2 linked regions of the Lepisosteus oculatus genome follow. The protein of the gene in region 1 purifies or fractionates together with the protein of each later gene. This does not show direct contact. Links are inferred from orthologs where the notes say so. Each region holds a gene or a part of one and is shown in the gene's direction. Other genes may lie near its edges.

What was found. The genes of interacting proteins can lie anywhere in the genome.
Region 2: the proteins of ddx21 (region 1) and rsl1d1 purify together in Homo sapiens (affinity purification with mass spectrometry; 3 studies listed by BioGRID and IntAct, with this or other methods). This does not show direct contact. The link is inferred for Lepisosteus oculatus from reciprocal best matches to the Homo sapiens genes DDX21 and RSL1D1.

What each region holds. Positions count from the first base shown.
Region 1 is NC_090699.1:30,703,176-30,711,065, forward strand, and holds the start of ddx21 (nucleolar RNA helicase 2), read left to right. Parts: upstream 1-4,831; 5' UTR 4,832-4,910; coding exon 4,911-4,994; intron 4,995-5,461; coding exon 5,462-5,749; intron 5,750-6,754; coding exon 6,755-6,904; intron 6,905-7,890. Other genes in the region: hypermethylated in cancer 2 protein-like, read right to left, coding at 1-232, 1,083-1,503.
Region 2 is NC_090714.1:15,563,162-15,571,193, reverse strand, and holds the start of rsl1d1 (ribosomal L1 domain-containing protein 1), read left to right. Parts: upstream 1-5,018; 5' UTR 5,019-5,080; coding exon 5,081-5,125; intron 5,126-6,074; coding exon 6,075-6,214; exon of another isoform or gene 6,215-6,447; intron 6,448-7,021; coding exon 7,022-7,160; intron 7,161-7,300; coding exon 7,301-7,449; intron 7,450-8,032. Other genes in the region: gspt1 (eukaryotic peptide chain release factor GTP-binding subunit ERF3A), read left to right, coding at 1,250-1,330, 1,658-1,831, 2,375-2,464, 2,941-3,109, 3,547-3,599. UniProt on the Homo sapiens protein: Regulates cellular senescence through inhibition of PTEN translation. Acts as a pro-apoptotic regulator in response to DNA damage.

The sequences.
Region 1 (7,890 bases):
GAACCAGGAATCTGGCTCGGGAGGGGAGTCTGCGTTCCTGGGAACGAGGATGTCTTCTCAGGTTTTCCTCTTGTGCTTGCACGCCGAATGACTGGAACGACCTCGCAGCTGGGCACCAGTGGTGTGGTCTGTTCGGGTTTGCCGTTGAGCAGGGGCGACGGGAGATCTCTTGGCACTGGCTGGTACTCTGCCAGTCGCCTCTTCCGGTGTGTTCTGAGTGCTTCAGACTCTGCTGGGGAATACATAAACACAATAAATAGGATACTATTTCTGGTTTGTTAAAACAGCATTTTCTATGTTATGCTTGCTTTAGTTTTTAAATTCTGAAGAGCTCAAAAGATAACACCTGCAACGCCCATACTATTTTTATGCTTAAGGTATACTTACATGTGAATTTTAATAAGTAAAAATACATGCATCAACCATTTCATTTTTCTCAATGTGTTTTGAGAAAAGTGAACATCGAAACATTTTGATACTAGATCCTGTTACTTTCAGCCATGTAAATCAAGTGTCAAGATAAGAGCTCTTTATTGGCCATATACAATTTCTAGTATTAGGAATTTGTCTTTTCACATACTGTACCTCAGCTTGCTCTCCATGAGACACCCAGACAGGGAGAGAAGCTTGGGGTCAGAGCGCAGGGTCAGCCATTTATATGGAGCCCCTGGAGCAGCTGAGGTTAAGGGCCTTGCTCAGGGGCCCAACAGAGTAAGATTCCTCTGCTGGCCGCAGGATACAAACCGGCAAACTTCCAGCCACAGGCCCAGATCCTTAGCCAGAGACCCACCACACCACCCCTGGTGCATTATAATCATGGTGCATTTCAAGTGATGCTGTTAAAGTTATTTGTGCTACAGTTTTTGTTCTGTTTCCAGCCTGATTAAAGTGTTAAATGGTGTACATCTATTTTTAAGGCATATGGGAGAGACAAAGTATGTCGCAAAAGTGGCATTGGCTCAGTATTGCACACATACATTCCAGAAAGGGGATTAATAGTTAAGACAGAAGCTTTAGACATACAGTATGTAAGAATTGCAAAAGCAAGCATTCAGATAACAGAGCTGTGTATTGCACCCAACCTGATGCTTGCTCCTTCACTGGGGCTGATTCTCCTCGCCCTGGTGACCCCAACAGCGCAGCCCCTCTGTGGCCGAGAGCCTGCAGGAGCTGCTCCATCTCCAGATAGACAGCAGCCGACAGCACAGAGTCCTTCAGGTCGAGTGGTGGCAACGTCCCAGTGTAGATGAACTCCAGGAGCAGCCCCATGGCTTCAGGGGTAAGAGTAGGGCACCCCAGATCGAGCAGAGAGCCCTGACTGGGGAGAAGGGAAGCCAGGAGAGGGCTTGAGGCAGCCAGGACACTTCTGTGGGCTATGTAGAGTTTTTCAGGGTGAAGCTGCAACCTGATCACACAGTCACAGAACTGGCCTGACTGCCTCTGAGAGTTCAGCTCCCTCAGCAGAGTGAGGGCGTGGGAAGAGACTGGGAGAGGACAGGCCATCACCTAGAGAAGGGAGAAGACAGATTTGCGTGTTCCATTCATTTCTCAGAGCCGCATACAGTACAGTAATTCACATAGAATGAGAGAAAGGGACAAATACACAGAGTGCACCAGACTTTCCTTTTAAATGTTTCCACTACATACCATTTAAATGTATTCTGTTTCTGAATCAGGTTGAGAAATAGGTTTCGGTCTCTGTTATGCACTGGAGAATTCTGCTGTGCAATACTTACGTAAACCAGAAACGTTAGGAGTAGGAAATAAATTGGTTGGCATTAACAAGAAATTAGATACAACATCAGACAAAGCCTGTATGGTGTACTGGGTCTGAACACTTTCATTCCTGCATCACTACAAGTACTAAGAGTAGTGGTAAATGACGGCATTAAGCTGCTGCGGTGACGATACACACTTTATGGAGAATTACAGTTAATTAGGGGGATAAGCACCCGCTCTGCTCTCCCTGAAGTCTCCTGCGAGCGCCCGGGTACCTGCGGACAGGCCAGGACAAGAGGCTACGTGCGCTTTCATTCGAAAACAATCACACGGTTTCGCAACGGCGAGCCCTACGTGACTCTGTCTGTTGCAGATAGGGGAGTGGAGTCCCGCTGTCCTGACGTCAAGGTCTCTGAACTCACCGCTGGAGCGCCCTGCCCCAGGACACTGCCTGTGCTCGAGGCTCCAGCGTGATAACCCACCTCCTGATGACGCTCCGTTTTTTTTTTATTCCGTAAAAGGAGTAGCATACACACGCACATGTGACCCCCTAGCCTGAGGTCCAGCTCTGCTCAGGGGGTTGAGTCCAGTGCCGTTACAAGATCTGTCTCTCGCGCGCAGTCCACCGCAATGGAAAGTAAATGATATCCACGTGGACCGAAGACCTTGTGAGCTTCCAACAGGCTAGAGCCGACTGCAGCGGGTTTATTTAAAACGCCTGGCTGTCGCCAGATGACGCTTTCCGGAGATAATAGTTCGTGCGCTTATCGACACGAAGCTGCTCTTTAATCATTAAGGTACAAAACAAATACCGCATATTCTCTTCGCTTTTATTTGTTTCCAATTTATTTTTGAAGGTAAACACCCTCCCTATATTCTGCGATTTAAAAAAACATGTTCATCTTATTAAATTGCGGGATTCTTAAAACACCCTTCTCACCGAGTCGTGGTTCCTGTCTCACAATCAAAATAGAATGCATTTCTTTAAATAAAAACATCTGAAATAAACTTTACTTAATTGAGCTGCGTAATGCATTTTCACGTCCATGCAACTTTACATATTCGGTGCAGATATTCTTTTACTGAAAGTTATATTCCACACACACACACCATATACAGCATTTACTGTGCACATTTTGTAATGTCACGTATGACAAATGGCTGCCATTAAATTAGTAAAAGTGAGCTGACAAGAAAAACGTTTCTAAACACAAATTTTAAAAAATAAATCATTTTTAGTTTCTAAACCTAATTTGCGTTGTCGTATAGAAGCATTTTAATTCCAATATGAACTAAGACTTCAGAAATCTGTTCCTTCTTTTCCTTTCACTATTCTTTTCCTTGCACAAATTCAAAACAGTGGTAATTCAGAAATTCTGAATGTATAATCATCCTCTTAAAGCAGCTGGTAAAATAAAATACATACCTGTGGTGTTTAGTTAAAAAACTATGAAGAAATAGTTTGTCAGTATATAGCAGAGGCTGTCTGACCACCGGACACAATCACAGCCTTACGGCCCATGCTGGCTATCCAGAACGCCGCGGGTGTGTTTAAAGACTCAGCTGAGAAGCTACGTGCGCTTCCATTCGGAAAATACCATCAGCCGCTGCTAGAGACAAGCTAGACGTCACACCAGAGCACCAGACATCTGTAAGGGGGGGGGGGGCACCCCACCATGACGTCACACATCACTCAGCTCCTTAAAAAGTGTGTTCCCAGGCTTCTCCAGTGCCGCTGCAACACGCCCCTTGTCCCAGGATAGGTCTTTCCTTCTAATCAGTGACAGATCCGCGGCTGTAATATACAGTTTAGACGTGGTAGTGAATTTCAGTTAATGTTTTATTTTAATGTTAAGGTTGTGTTGTTGTATTGAACTTAAATCGCAAAACAAATTGCCCTTAGGTGATAGTAATAAAATATGAATTGAAATGGACGAGTTTATGAACATTTTGTTTTGACATCGCTGGAGGGATATTGTATTAAGGCGATTATTTACTTTTTAAGTTTTTTATAATATAATATCGCAGTGATTACAAAGGATCACTTACAATGTTTAAAGATCAACTGAAAGCGTTGTGTTAATGGATGCAATAAATATGGACAATAAAATAAACAATATGGCTCATACTGATATTAAGCATTGCTCAGCTTTGTAAAACATCTCTTAGCTTCTTGTCGAGGAATATTTGCGAAACATCCGTTTACAGGCAACAAAACAAAAAATCAATTTATGAAAATAAAACTAAGCGTCTCGTTACGCTTTATCCAGCCACTCATTTCAATGTTTATCTTCTGAAATAACTATGATAATTAAAATGTACAAAAATAATACATAATAGATGTTAACTATAGGTTACCATTATAGGTGGTAACTAACAGTCGTGGGTATATTTAAAATCCGTGTCATACAAAATAAACGCGCTTATTTACATGCAATATGCACAATCTCAGTGGCACCAAACTCACAGCACTCCACTGCTTAGCGCTGAAGGCTCATTTTCAGTTAAGATTACATACAGAACACCCAATTGTCCACGTAAACAAATTCTGAAACTAATTTCCAATAATTATTGATGCAACATAACTCCGCAAACATTTATTTCAGCGAGTTCAATTTCTCCCAGCTAGTTCCATTTCTCCACGACGCACTGTTCTTTTGTGGATGAATATTTGTTTTTAGTGTAATGTTTACGTGGTCTTTGGGACAAAAGGGACACTCTCCTCGATCCCAGGTGTTGAAGAGCCTTGATGTTTCACCTGTAGAATGCAGTTACTGAGCAGAGCAGCCTTCAAACAACGTGTTACTGGCAAACCAAGGTTGGTGAAGAGGTAAGAAAAATGAGTTTTAAACACCCTCGTTTAAGTGTTGTAGCAATAAAATGAAACAGTGCAATTATCTAGGTAGGTACAAACTATTTTCACCACGTTTGCATTGTTTGTTTTTAGTCTGGTGTTACCGGAGTCCTACACGTCTTGACGTTTATTCCACTTCCAGTGAATAAACACCTTGTTTCTGTACACGCAGCTGGTCTCTCAGCCGCATGGAGCGACGCGCTCTGTTTGGCGTCTCTAGCTTGCCGTAGTCCTGATAGCGGATATGGTTGCTGTGGAGGGGGATGTTCTTTCCTTGTTAGCTTTGTCGCCGAGACGGCAGTAGGAGCCCGTCTTTGGGAGAACTTATCGGGTGAAAATGCCGGGAAAGATTGTTGAAAGTGAAGACATCGGGATGGAAGACGATCTTGACACCAGTATGGAGGACTATAAGCCATCCAAGGTGGGGAAAGGCGATGGTTTATAGCTATAATAGCATTCGTGTTTATACTGTACCCAGTCAGAAGTTACATGGATGCCAAGCACGTGTGTCTGAGAGTGTACACGTGTGTGAGATATTTAAACGTTTTCTGAGAAAGTAGATTTAATTCTTATGACGGGACAACAGAGTAGCATTTGACTAAGGTAATCAATAATACGTATTACTAATTTATCTTTACATTCTGGTATATTTATATAATGTAGTTTTGTTATTGTAGCACTTGTCAGACAACATGATAAAAGTGTGACGTTCAAATACTTAAAACGGCCATGCTTATGTAAAGGCAGTGAGCTGTGGGTTTTATCCACAAAACATCTTCATGGTTCACGCTGTCAAGTGCCAGGCGTTTTAGGTACCACATGTTGGGTATATACTTGGATTGCTTGTAAACACATTGGACGAAGTATGTTTTTGTTGTTGCTCGGCAGAAACAAAAGAAGGGAAAGAAATCTAAGGATGAAAAGAAACCCAAGAAAAAAAAGGGAACAGTGGAAGGGCAGCCCGATGAGACTGACACACCTCCTCCCAAGAAGAAAAAGCGGGCTTCTGTCGAAGAGCCACCAGCCTCTGAAACGACAAGTAACGGAGACGCCGTCAGGGGCAGCTCAGCAAAGAAACACAAGTCCAAATCCGTCAATGGAACACCATTAATGAAAGATTTGCCTCATTCCAGTGAAGAATCCGGCAGTGATTCTGGCCATGAAACAGAGCCTAAGGTAACGCTTGTGAATCTGCTGGTCAGGTTTTAAAGCTATCCATTTACACGTGTTGTATTAATGCCGTTAGAGAAGGTAGCTCTTTTGATTACATCTGGAGTTAGTTCAGTCTCTAGGATATCTTTATACCCGGTGGAGTGCAGTGCCATTGGGCTACTTAAGTGTTTATGTTTAGAAGGAAGGAAAAAATTGGCATTCACAGGTTATTAATAATTGCTTACACATATACAGCGCTTATCTGGACACTCCACTCAAAGTGCTTTACAGGTAATAGGGACTCCCCTCCACCACCACCAATGTGCAGCCCCACCTGGATGATGTGACGGCAGCCATAGTGCACCAGAACACTCACCACACATTAGCTATTTAGTGGGGAGGAGAACAGTGATGAAGCCAGTTCATAGATTGGTATTATTAGGAGGCCGTGATTGGTAAGAGCCATGGGAAATTTGGCCAGGACACCAGGGGTACACCCCTACTCTTTTCAAGAAACGCCCTGGGATTTTTAATGACCACAGGGAGTCAGGACCTCGGTTTTACGTCTCATCCGAAGGACGGAGCCTTTTTACAGAGTATAGTGTCCCCATCACTACACTGGGGCATTAGGACCCACATGGACAGCAGGGTGAGTGCCCCCTGCTGGCCCCACTAACACCTCTTCCAGCAGCAACCTTAGTTTTTCCCAGGAGGTCTCCATCCAGGTACTGACCAGGCTCACACCTGCTGAGCTTCAGTGGGCTGCCAGGTGTGGGTAGCAGGGTGGTATGGCTGCTGGCATTAAATGTTTAATGTTCCCTACACGCTTCTTAAATCACAGTCATAGCCCAGCATTTGACCTCTATACCTGCAGTACCACTAAAAATAGTGTTGATCTCAGAGCAGCACGAGATGTAATTATCCCAAGAAAAACACACTTTTGCCCCCCGCCCCATCCTGTGGTGCCATCAGTTCCAACAGCATCAGCTGCCCTAAAGAACGTTGTGGTGTTTTTCGCTTCCCCATCAGCCGAAGAAGACGGGGAAGGCAGTCGTCAATGGCGTCTCGACAAAGAAGTTGAAACGGCAAGCCAGCAGCTCCCCGGAGCAGGGAGCCTCGGTGCTCACCCCGTCTCATTCCAGCGAGGACTCCAGCATCGACAGCGAGAAGGAAGCGGAGGTATGAAATCCGGCTGGTCCTTCGCGTTTCTAAACCGGCATGCTCAAAGCCTGCTCCTCGGTTTTACTTGAAAGACCTGCGTGTGTGTGTTTTAATGGAACATTCTTTTAAAGAGATCCTAATTATCTGACGTCCGCCCTTCATGTGACTCTGTTTGTTACGTGTGCTAGTCTATTTGGTGTTCAGTTGAAAAGTGAAATAAAATCGGGCTTGGTGGAGCTTTACTAAAAAGAAAGGAAGTGAAGATGTTTTAAATTAAGTGGGCATTTCCTTCATGAAGACTTTTTTTGTCCCCTGCAGTCGTCAATGTAGACTACAAGAGTTCTTCTAGGACTTCGTAAAAGCTCGTTAACTATATAATTATAAAAAATAATTGGAAATTTAGAGTGGACACCGATGTCCTGCTCGCGTATAAAGCACAGAACGGCTTAGCACCTGATTATTTTAAGGCTTATTGCATGTGTTAACTCCATCTCTTAATGTAGGACATATTGATTTAGGCCTTCTTACTCTGCTGAGTTCTGTTGACATGTTTTTTAAAACTTGCTTAAAGACCTATTTTCCACAGTTGCTTTAATATGTAATTTGGGTATACTCTTGGTTTTATTAATTCAGTTGGCTGTGCATTTATTTTCTGTTTACTAGTTTCTACACAATTGTGCCGTTTTTTATTTCTTTGAAAGTGCTTATAACTTAAAGTGTAGTACATTACCACTACTTTCACTGTTAATATTTCTATTTGAAATTTCAAACACCCTGCAGAAATTCTGCTAAGACTGCGTCCTAAGACTGTGCATTATTAATTCTAAAAAAGCCTTTTTCCTTGGTTACTCAGACTTCAGATCACAGCATTCACAGGCACTTGATACTTTGCCTCTTGTCAGTGTTTAAATACTCCTGGTGGTAAATGTTTCTGTTGAAATCACTCCAGAGGAAAAAAACTGGTGGTGTTTTCTGAACGGGTCATATAAAGGAAGTCCATTTCA
Region 2 (8,032 bases), on another chromosome or scaffold:
ATGGGAAAAGTGCTAGTCTGCAGTCTGGCAACATGTTTAAATGTTGTTGGTGTTTTATTTTATTTTTGGAATGAGGACACTGCTGAGCGGTCAGCACTGGTAGTTTTGAGAGCTCTGTGCATGGAGGGGGCAGCGGTGGTTGATCTCATTTTCGTCTGCGTGTTCGACGCCGGCCTCGGCGCAGAGCTCCTTGAGCAAGTCGGGATCGGCGACGGCCTGCTCTCGCGTGGGTGTGTTTTGGCACGAGCGGTAAAGTACAGACTCCACTGAATGAAGGATAAAGCCTTTTTTTCCCCTCCCGTTTCCTATTCTATTTAAAAAATGTAAAGTGTTGTTTTAGCTCTAATTATATGATATAAAAGAAAACGGGTTTCCTCTGGAGTTTATATTAATTTGAAGTAATGTGATGAGGGTCAGGTTAGCTGAAGCCTGGTTATACTGCTCAGAAAGCTGCAAGTAAATCTGTCAAGAGCACAAAGGAGGTCAGCAGGTTTAACTCCGGAGGAGGGGAAGCCGAGAGCTGAGAGAGGTATGAAACAGGAGCATGGAGTTAGGTTGGGGGGGGGGAGTCTTTGGAGTGATCACCTGCAGGGAATGTTTCATTCTTGTCTTTTAGTGTATCTTACACGGCAGAAAAACAAACTGCTGCAGGGCAACTCGGCACGGCTCACCTGGTGCTTTTAAGATCTTTGATAATATTGACCAAAAGAATAGCACTTAAAATTCAAGAGTTTTTCTTTATATTTTGTGGTAAATTGGAAATTTTTCAAAAGTGGTATTCAGAGTGCATTTGAATCTGAAACGCAAAAATAGTACATATATTACTAGTAAATAGCTGATACATGCTTGCGTATGTGGTCTGTACAGACTTCTCTTACTACAACACAGTGGAAGTCTTTGCAGTGACCTTGTAGTGGAGACATTAACTGCTCAACTTCACTGGTTTGTGCCCTTTATTTTATTACAGCCATTGGTTTGCATACTGAGTAGGCTGATCCCAGTTTCTGTCAAAGTAAAAAACAACGCTCTGAATACGTGAACAGCTTCAAGTGTCGTTATTTTGCTTCAGCTACAGATCTTAACTAAGCATTACAGATTTACATGCACCCCTAACAGATAATGCGGACTTCAGGATGTTGGATGTTCCTGTGCAGTTTGTTCTTCCAGGGTAGTGAATTATTCAGGTTTTGTCATGGTAAATGTCATGATGTTGGCTGTTCAGTTCACTGATTGTGAGTGTCCTTAACAGGATATGGGCACTGTGATCCTGGGCAAGCTGGAGTCTGGGTCTATCTGCAAAGCACAGCAGCTTGTGATGATGCCAAACAAGGTGGGTTTGCATGTATTGCAGCACTGACCTCTATCCCGGGTTCTGTCTGAACAGCAGTTTCAAATGCTGCATTTCCTGAGAGCCCAGATGGGTTTTTTTTATAGACTGCATCAGTCTTCTGTGTCCCGTCTTCCTAAAAGCGAGTTCAGAGATAGCAATGGTTATAGCAGAGGGCTTCTGCTCGCACATAACACATAAGCCCAAACAAAGCAGCAGGAGCTAGCTGTGGGGCCTGTACAGTGCAACACCATGCTGTTGATCTAGAGCCGTGTGAGATGTGGCTAGGCTCCTCGGCGACTGACTGAAGAGGTGCATGTTTGTCCCCAGCACACCGTGGAGGTCCTCAGCCTGCTCTCGGACGATGTGGAGACGGAGTTCGCCGGGCCCGGGGAGAACCTGAAGCTGAGGCTGAAGGGCATCGAGGAGGAGGAGATCCTGCCCGGCTTCATCCTTTGTAACGCCGAGAACCTCTGCCACTCCGGGCGCACTTTCGACGCTCAGGTCAGGGTCCGCCCCCGCCCCATCATCACTCCCCACAGGCCCTTGTGTCTTTCAAGTCAGTCCGCGGCCCCTCCCCCAGGAATGACGATCTCAGAGGAGGGATCAAAGAAAAGCCTTTGAGCATGCACCAGATACAGAGCGAGGCCCTGTCCCATCACCAACACACGCCTAAAGTCAGCTGTTAACCCCACCTCACATTGCTAGAATAGTGGGCGAGTTCACGTTCATACATTAGGAGAAGAGGCAACACCTGCCCAGAGATTATGGAGGTGCTGTCCAGTAAAAAAGTAAGTGATAACCATAGAATCCATGGGTGCGCACTCTCTGCTCCAAGACAATTGAACACCTTTGGCATCCTCCTGACCTCCAACTGAGGGTTTTACAAAAAGACTTCATTTTACTTTTGGCCACATACCTGCGGATCAGATGAGGCAAGACAGCCTGGCTTCACACGATGTCGAAGTGAGGAAAGCTGTGTTTCTTCATAGAAAGAGAAACTGGTCACACTTCTGTCTTATTTCTGCTCTTGTCTCGCCTTCACAGATTGTCATCATCGAACACAAATCCATCATCTGCCCTGGTTACAACGCAGTCCTGCACATCCACACCTGCATTGAAGAAGTCCAAATTACAGTAAGTGCATGATTTTCCACACCACTTCCAAATGTCTGACAGTGTTTTAAGTAGCCATTGCTGGTCAGACAAGACATGATATAAAGAAGTGGTGTCACATAAGTCTCAAAGCAGTCATGCAGCAGGGCCTGCTGTGCATCCTGTGTTTTTACATGCTGCGCTTCCAGGAATGCTTGTATGTTTAGACAGAGTTCAGATCTTATTACAGTTACTGTGTATATGGATATTAACCTGTGCTATTTTGGTTTCTAATGGGAAACTGTCTTAATAGGTGGGAGTAATTTCAGACCTCCTTAACCTCCAGTTATGTATGCAAACATTGTAACGGACGTTAAAAAAAAGGCTCTTAAGTTAGATTCTTTTCATTGATCGACTTGTTTGTAGCAATACACACTTAATTGTATCATTATTGGCTGACTGCAGAAAATCACACTGCTGTTAATGGACCTGAAATGATTTTCCTCCTTCTCATGCAGGCCTTAATCTGCCTGGTAGACAAAAAGTCTGGCGAGAAAAGCAAGACGCGACCTCGTTTTGTGAAACAAGACCAAGTGTGCATCGCCCGCCTGCGGACCGCGGGCACCATCTGCCTTGAGACCTTCAAAGATTTCCCTCAGATGGGACGCTTCACCTTACGGGATGAAGGTGGAGTTAACTGTGGCTTAAAGCATGGGACAGCTACAGCCCCGTTACAGAACAGACCTCGAATTCACTTTCCACGCCATCTCACCCTTGTCTTGAAGGACTGAGAATAAGGGCGTCAATGCAGCTGAACTGCATCACACGTAATTACGGCAGACACATGTCCACTGCAGATGAGGCTGGATTTGTATTTCTGCTACGTGATTGGTGTTGTACAGCACGAATAAGGAAGGTTTAGGAAGGTTAAACCCACTTAAAGGGGAGTACATTGTGTCGGAACACGGGAGGGTAATGTCTGTGTGAGGATGTTAGAGCAGCGTGTTTTAAAAAGTATGTAGTTAAAGATTTAAAGCTGTTTGCAATCCCACGTGATCGAGTGGGTGGGTGTCTGATTTGACTGTATCGGTGAAAGAAATTCTCTTTTATGTTTTTTTTTGTAGGCAAGACCATCGCCATTGGCAAGGTTTTGAAGCTGGTACCAGAGAAGGACTAAAGGGGGCGCTGTGGTTGCCTGGCGTAGTTGACTGTGATGGAAGTGGACTCGGCAGCAGCCTGCTTCTCACCACCTTCTCCTCTGCCCCTCCTGCCCGCCGCAGACGAGTTCACAACACGAAACGTCTCTGAAAGTGAAAGATAAATCAGTTTTTTAAAAAAATAAAGAGTCCACATATGTCAGCTTTCTCATATTGAGAGCTCAGCTATGCCATTTGTTAGTCCCCTCCCTTCCCTGTTTTAAGATTGTCATTGAATGAAACTTAATAAAAGAAAGATAAGAATTTCTCTTCCAACTTTTTTGACTTCCTTCAGAGAAAGTGGCAGCAGCTGCCAGAACAGGTGTGGACTGAGCTGCTTGGATTAGAAAGGAAAAAAAAAACACAAATTTACAACACTTCGAAACCAAAATAATGTTCATATCCTGGTTGTACATGTCTCCCTTTGCTTATATCAAGATGGGTTTCTCTACACAAGGAGTTCGTACAGCATGTGCGAGCGTGATCACATGTTATTAAAGCGACTACAGTGACAATAAAATATTAAGTTTAAAAAAAACATTTCTGTTGCGTGCTTCGTTTTGTGTGTTGAACTCTTCTCCACACTGGAACCTGGCGGGCTCTGGACGGCTTCCTCTTTATCCCCCAGCTTTCTGAGGGCAGCAAACCCCGTTCGTAACTACCCCAGCCCAAACCGCTGCAGACAGCAGAGCTAATCTCCCTTCAGACCTTGGTGGCCACTGTCTTGTCTCTGGAGCACAGCTGTAAGGAGTTCAAGTTGAGTGTTCTTTAAAAAAAAGACTCAAATTATTGTTGCATACAGAATTGGCAGTCAGTGTTTTTGAAGTGTTTAAGGGGATGAGTAGTGGCATCTTTTTATGTGAAGTTTTGCACTCCAAAGTACATGTAAGCTAAGAGTTTCAGAAAGTCGGTTTTATTTTTTAAAATACCTCTGTGCCAGTATTATTCTGTTGTTTACATGTTGGCAGTGAACAACTGTTCTAGTCAGGGGAACTTTCTGAAATGTGCATCTATAAAGGTCTTGCATTAGTGCAGGAACGTGACATTAATGATCCCCGCCCCAATGTAGACCAAAAACGTTTATTCCAATTTTATGATCTGTAAATATTTCAATAACCATGATTATTTGTCCAGTCGAAAAATTGTGTCCATGGTGGATTTTGCCGTTGACTTCTAAGGGAGACGCTATAAAGAAACTCCCCCCGCCCACAGAATATTTCAAGATCAATCCAAGATCACATCAATTTTATAAGGCTGCAGTAACAGTCTTCCTCGACACAAAAATAGCACAACGTGGAACGAACCGGATATAAGGATCAATCTACGCATGCCTGCACAATAGGTTGGGGGCTGGGGAAGCATAGTGCGTTTATAAATAAAGTTTGGGCTTTCAAGTGAAACAGGAAGTGGTTGATTGACGCATGTCCGAGTCCTGTGGGCCGCACGTGTCAGGAGAGGCAGCATGGCGACCGATCAGAGCGGTGGTGTGGAGTTGGATCGCTCGCAGGTAATATAGCAGATTCAGAGATCGTGAGAGATGTGTTCTGTATTGAATGTGTCTACCAGCGATAAAAAAGTATTCGTAATTAAACAGTTCGTTTACGTTACCTTTTTGGGTATTTTACTCGTATCTGTAGGGTAACTGCTAAATGGGATAAGCGGCGACTCTAAAATAAGTTGAATAACTTAATTTCTTATAGCAGCGTATGTGTTGTAGGTTTTTCGTATGATCTTCGGGTGGGCGCATAAGCCAGTCTTCCCTGATTTATCATTAAATTTAGTGTAGAAGTCCGCAATATCCGTCTCCCCATGAAGGAGTTGAGTGTGATGCAACTAGTTCTTAGTCTGGCGAGCAGTTTTCATAATTAGCTACCAAAAAGAAATACGAACATGCACGTTTATAAGCAGCTCCTCTAAAGCTTATAACTTATTTTAAATAGAATTGATCGCTTTTTTATGTACTGCTGAAGTGGTAGGACATTCACTTAGATCGGTCAGGAACATGTTTAACCTGGCCATACATTCGTTTATCGGATTCATAGTCTCTTAGTCATTTTGTTTTTCATAAGAGTAGCGTAAAATGTTTAGTGTTTTGGGTGTGCGGGTGAATGTTGATAGCAGGGAGGCATGGCCTAGTGAGATGGTGGTAACACTGCTGCCTCCGGGGGCACCTCTTGTGTGGGCTCTGTGTGCTGTCTCAAAATCTGCGGGTGTCTTCTAGCAGACTACTTCTCCAGGCTCAATTCCCCCTGCCTGCGTGAGTGTGGGGCTGTGGCGGACTGGGGTCCTGTGCAGGATATAGTCTTGCCTTGTGTGTCCTGAATGGGCTCTGGTTTCCTGTGGCTATGAATGCAGAACCATGAAACCGCCCCAACTGAGAAGAAAGCGATGTTGTGGTTTTAGGCAGCCGGTTTCCTGGCCTGCACTGAGGGATTCGGTGTCTCGTGTCGTTGCAGGTGAAGAAGGCTGCGCAGGCCCTGCTGGCCTACCTGAAGAGCACGCCCAGCTCGGGCTCCGTCCTGCTGGACGAGCACCAGCACATCTCCCTGCTCTTCACTCTCTGGAAGGTCCCCAAGAAGGAGCAGACTATCCGCATGTGAGTGTTCGTGGCAGGGTTACTGGCGGGCTGCGGCGTCTCTGACGTCTCGATGTGCCCCGGTGTGGAGCAGTCGAATGTCTGCTTTCGAGCGTGCCTGGCCCTCCTCCCATCTCGAGCGCTGGTGGCGATTTGAAGGAAAGCGTGAAACCTGCTCCACTGGGTCCCACTGGCTCAGTCTGGCTTTCCGCCCGGTGACAGTCAAGCTGTCCGGTTCACGGGCTTCTGATAGGCTGGTTATGAGGGTATAAAAGAAGGGAAATCTCGATCAATTTAGCTTGTCTGTCTCATTTCAGAATATATGAAAAACCAAGAGTATACATGATCATGCATAGCTGTGGCCCTTATGGGTTGAGAAGCCAAGGATAAGAATTGATCTGTTGTTTGTGAGAAGATGTGTATTTCCCCAGGTGACTCGCCAGTAAGGTGGCACAGTGGCGCAGTGGTTAGCGCTGGGATCATGTGTTCAATTCTGGGCCTGGGGCACAGTCTGCTTGGGGTTTGTATGTCCTCATCAGTTTCCTGTAGGTCTGCCCCCACAGTCCAGTCCAGAGACATACTAGTAGGTTAATTGGCTTCTGGAAAAACTGGCCTGGGTGTGTTTGTGTTTTTGTATGTCCACTATGGACTGGCATCCTGTCCAGGGTGCCCGCTGCTTGCAGGTAGAGGCACTGGCTCTCCTGCCTCCCTGTATTGCATAAAGGGGTTAGAAAATGCATGGATAGATGAAATATTGCAGCAGGCTTTGAAAGTCGCTGCAGTGGTCTTCTGTGGCACTGAAGTGGAGACTCTTGCCTTCCTGTCCAGCCCCTTACCCCATGGCCTGCGCTTGGAATCCGGGGACGTGTGTCTCTTCACCAAGGACGAGCCCAACATGACTTCTGACCAGACGGAGCGCTTCTACAAGAGGCTGCTCTCGGAGAAGGGAGTCAAAGGAATTACACAGGTACTCCCCAGCTTAGCCACCAGGGGGCACTGTTCCCCACTGCTTGGCAGAAAAATTTTAAACACTCCCCCTCCCCCCCCAAGTTCCTCGTCCTTCGTCGGGGTGAGGTGATAACAGGTTGTCCTCCTCTCCTGTGGCAGGTGATGCCCTTCCGGGTGCTGAAGAAGGAGTACAAGTCCTTTGAAGCGAAGCGGAGGCTTCTGGGCAACTTCGACCTCTTCCTGGCAGACGACAGGGTTCGCCGGCTCCTGCCCTCGCACATCGGAAAGCACTTCTACCAGAGCAAGAAGTACGCCCACCCAGCCTGCGGGACCTGCTCTGCTTTACGTTTAGGACTGACAGTTATTTATATTGAAGCCCCATCTCCAGTTGCTTTTTTTCCCCCATTGTATCGGCTCGTGGCTACGTTTCATAGCCACGTGGCCGGCTAACGCCTGCCCACCCTGATCCTGTTGTGCGCCACCTGGTCACAGGCAGCTATAGTGTCATGACCCTGACTCGAACCCAGAACCGCCTGGGTCATAGAGCTCAGTGAGTGCCTTAGCCAGGGGAAGCCCTCGAACTGGGGGGGGGGGGGGGCAGCAAACCAGATGTTTTCCAGCTGTGAAGCTGAAATCTGATTTCGGATGATTGCAGTATCCTACACCAGCTGGTTACACGGCAGTTTAGAAAACCATCTCCTGAGTTATTTCAGAAATAATCCTCTGGGGAGGCAGTGGCTTTCCTACCAGCAGTTTATTTTTGTTTTCGCTGGCTTGTAATTGCACAGATCACAGGTCTTTGTAAGCAGAGGGATGGTTCTGTGGGGAAGTTCTGTATCCAGGAGTGGGAGCAGGTTTGCCAGCAGCCCGTGTTGGCGCTCTGGTCTCGCC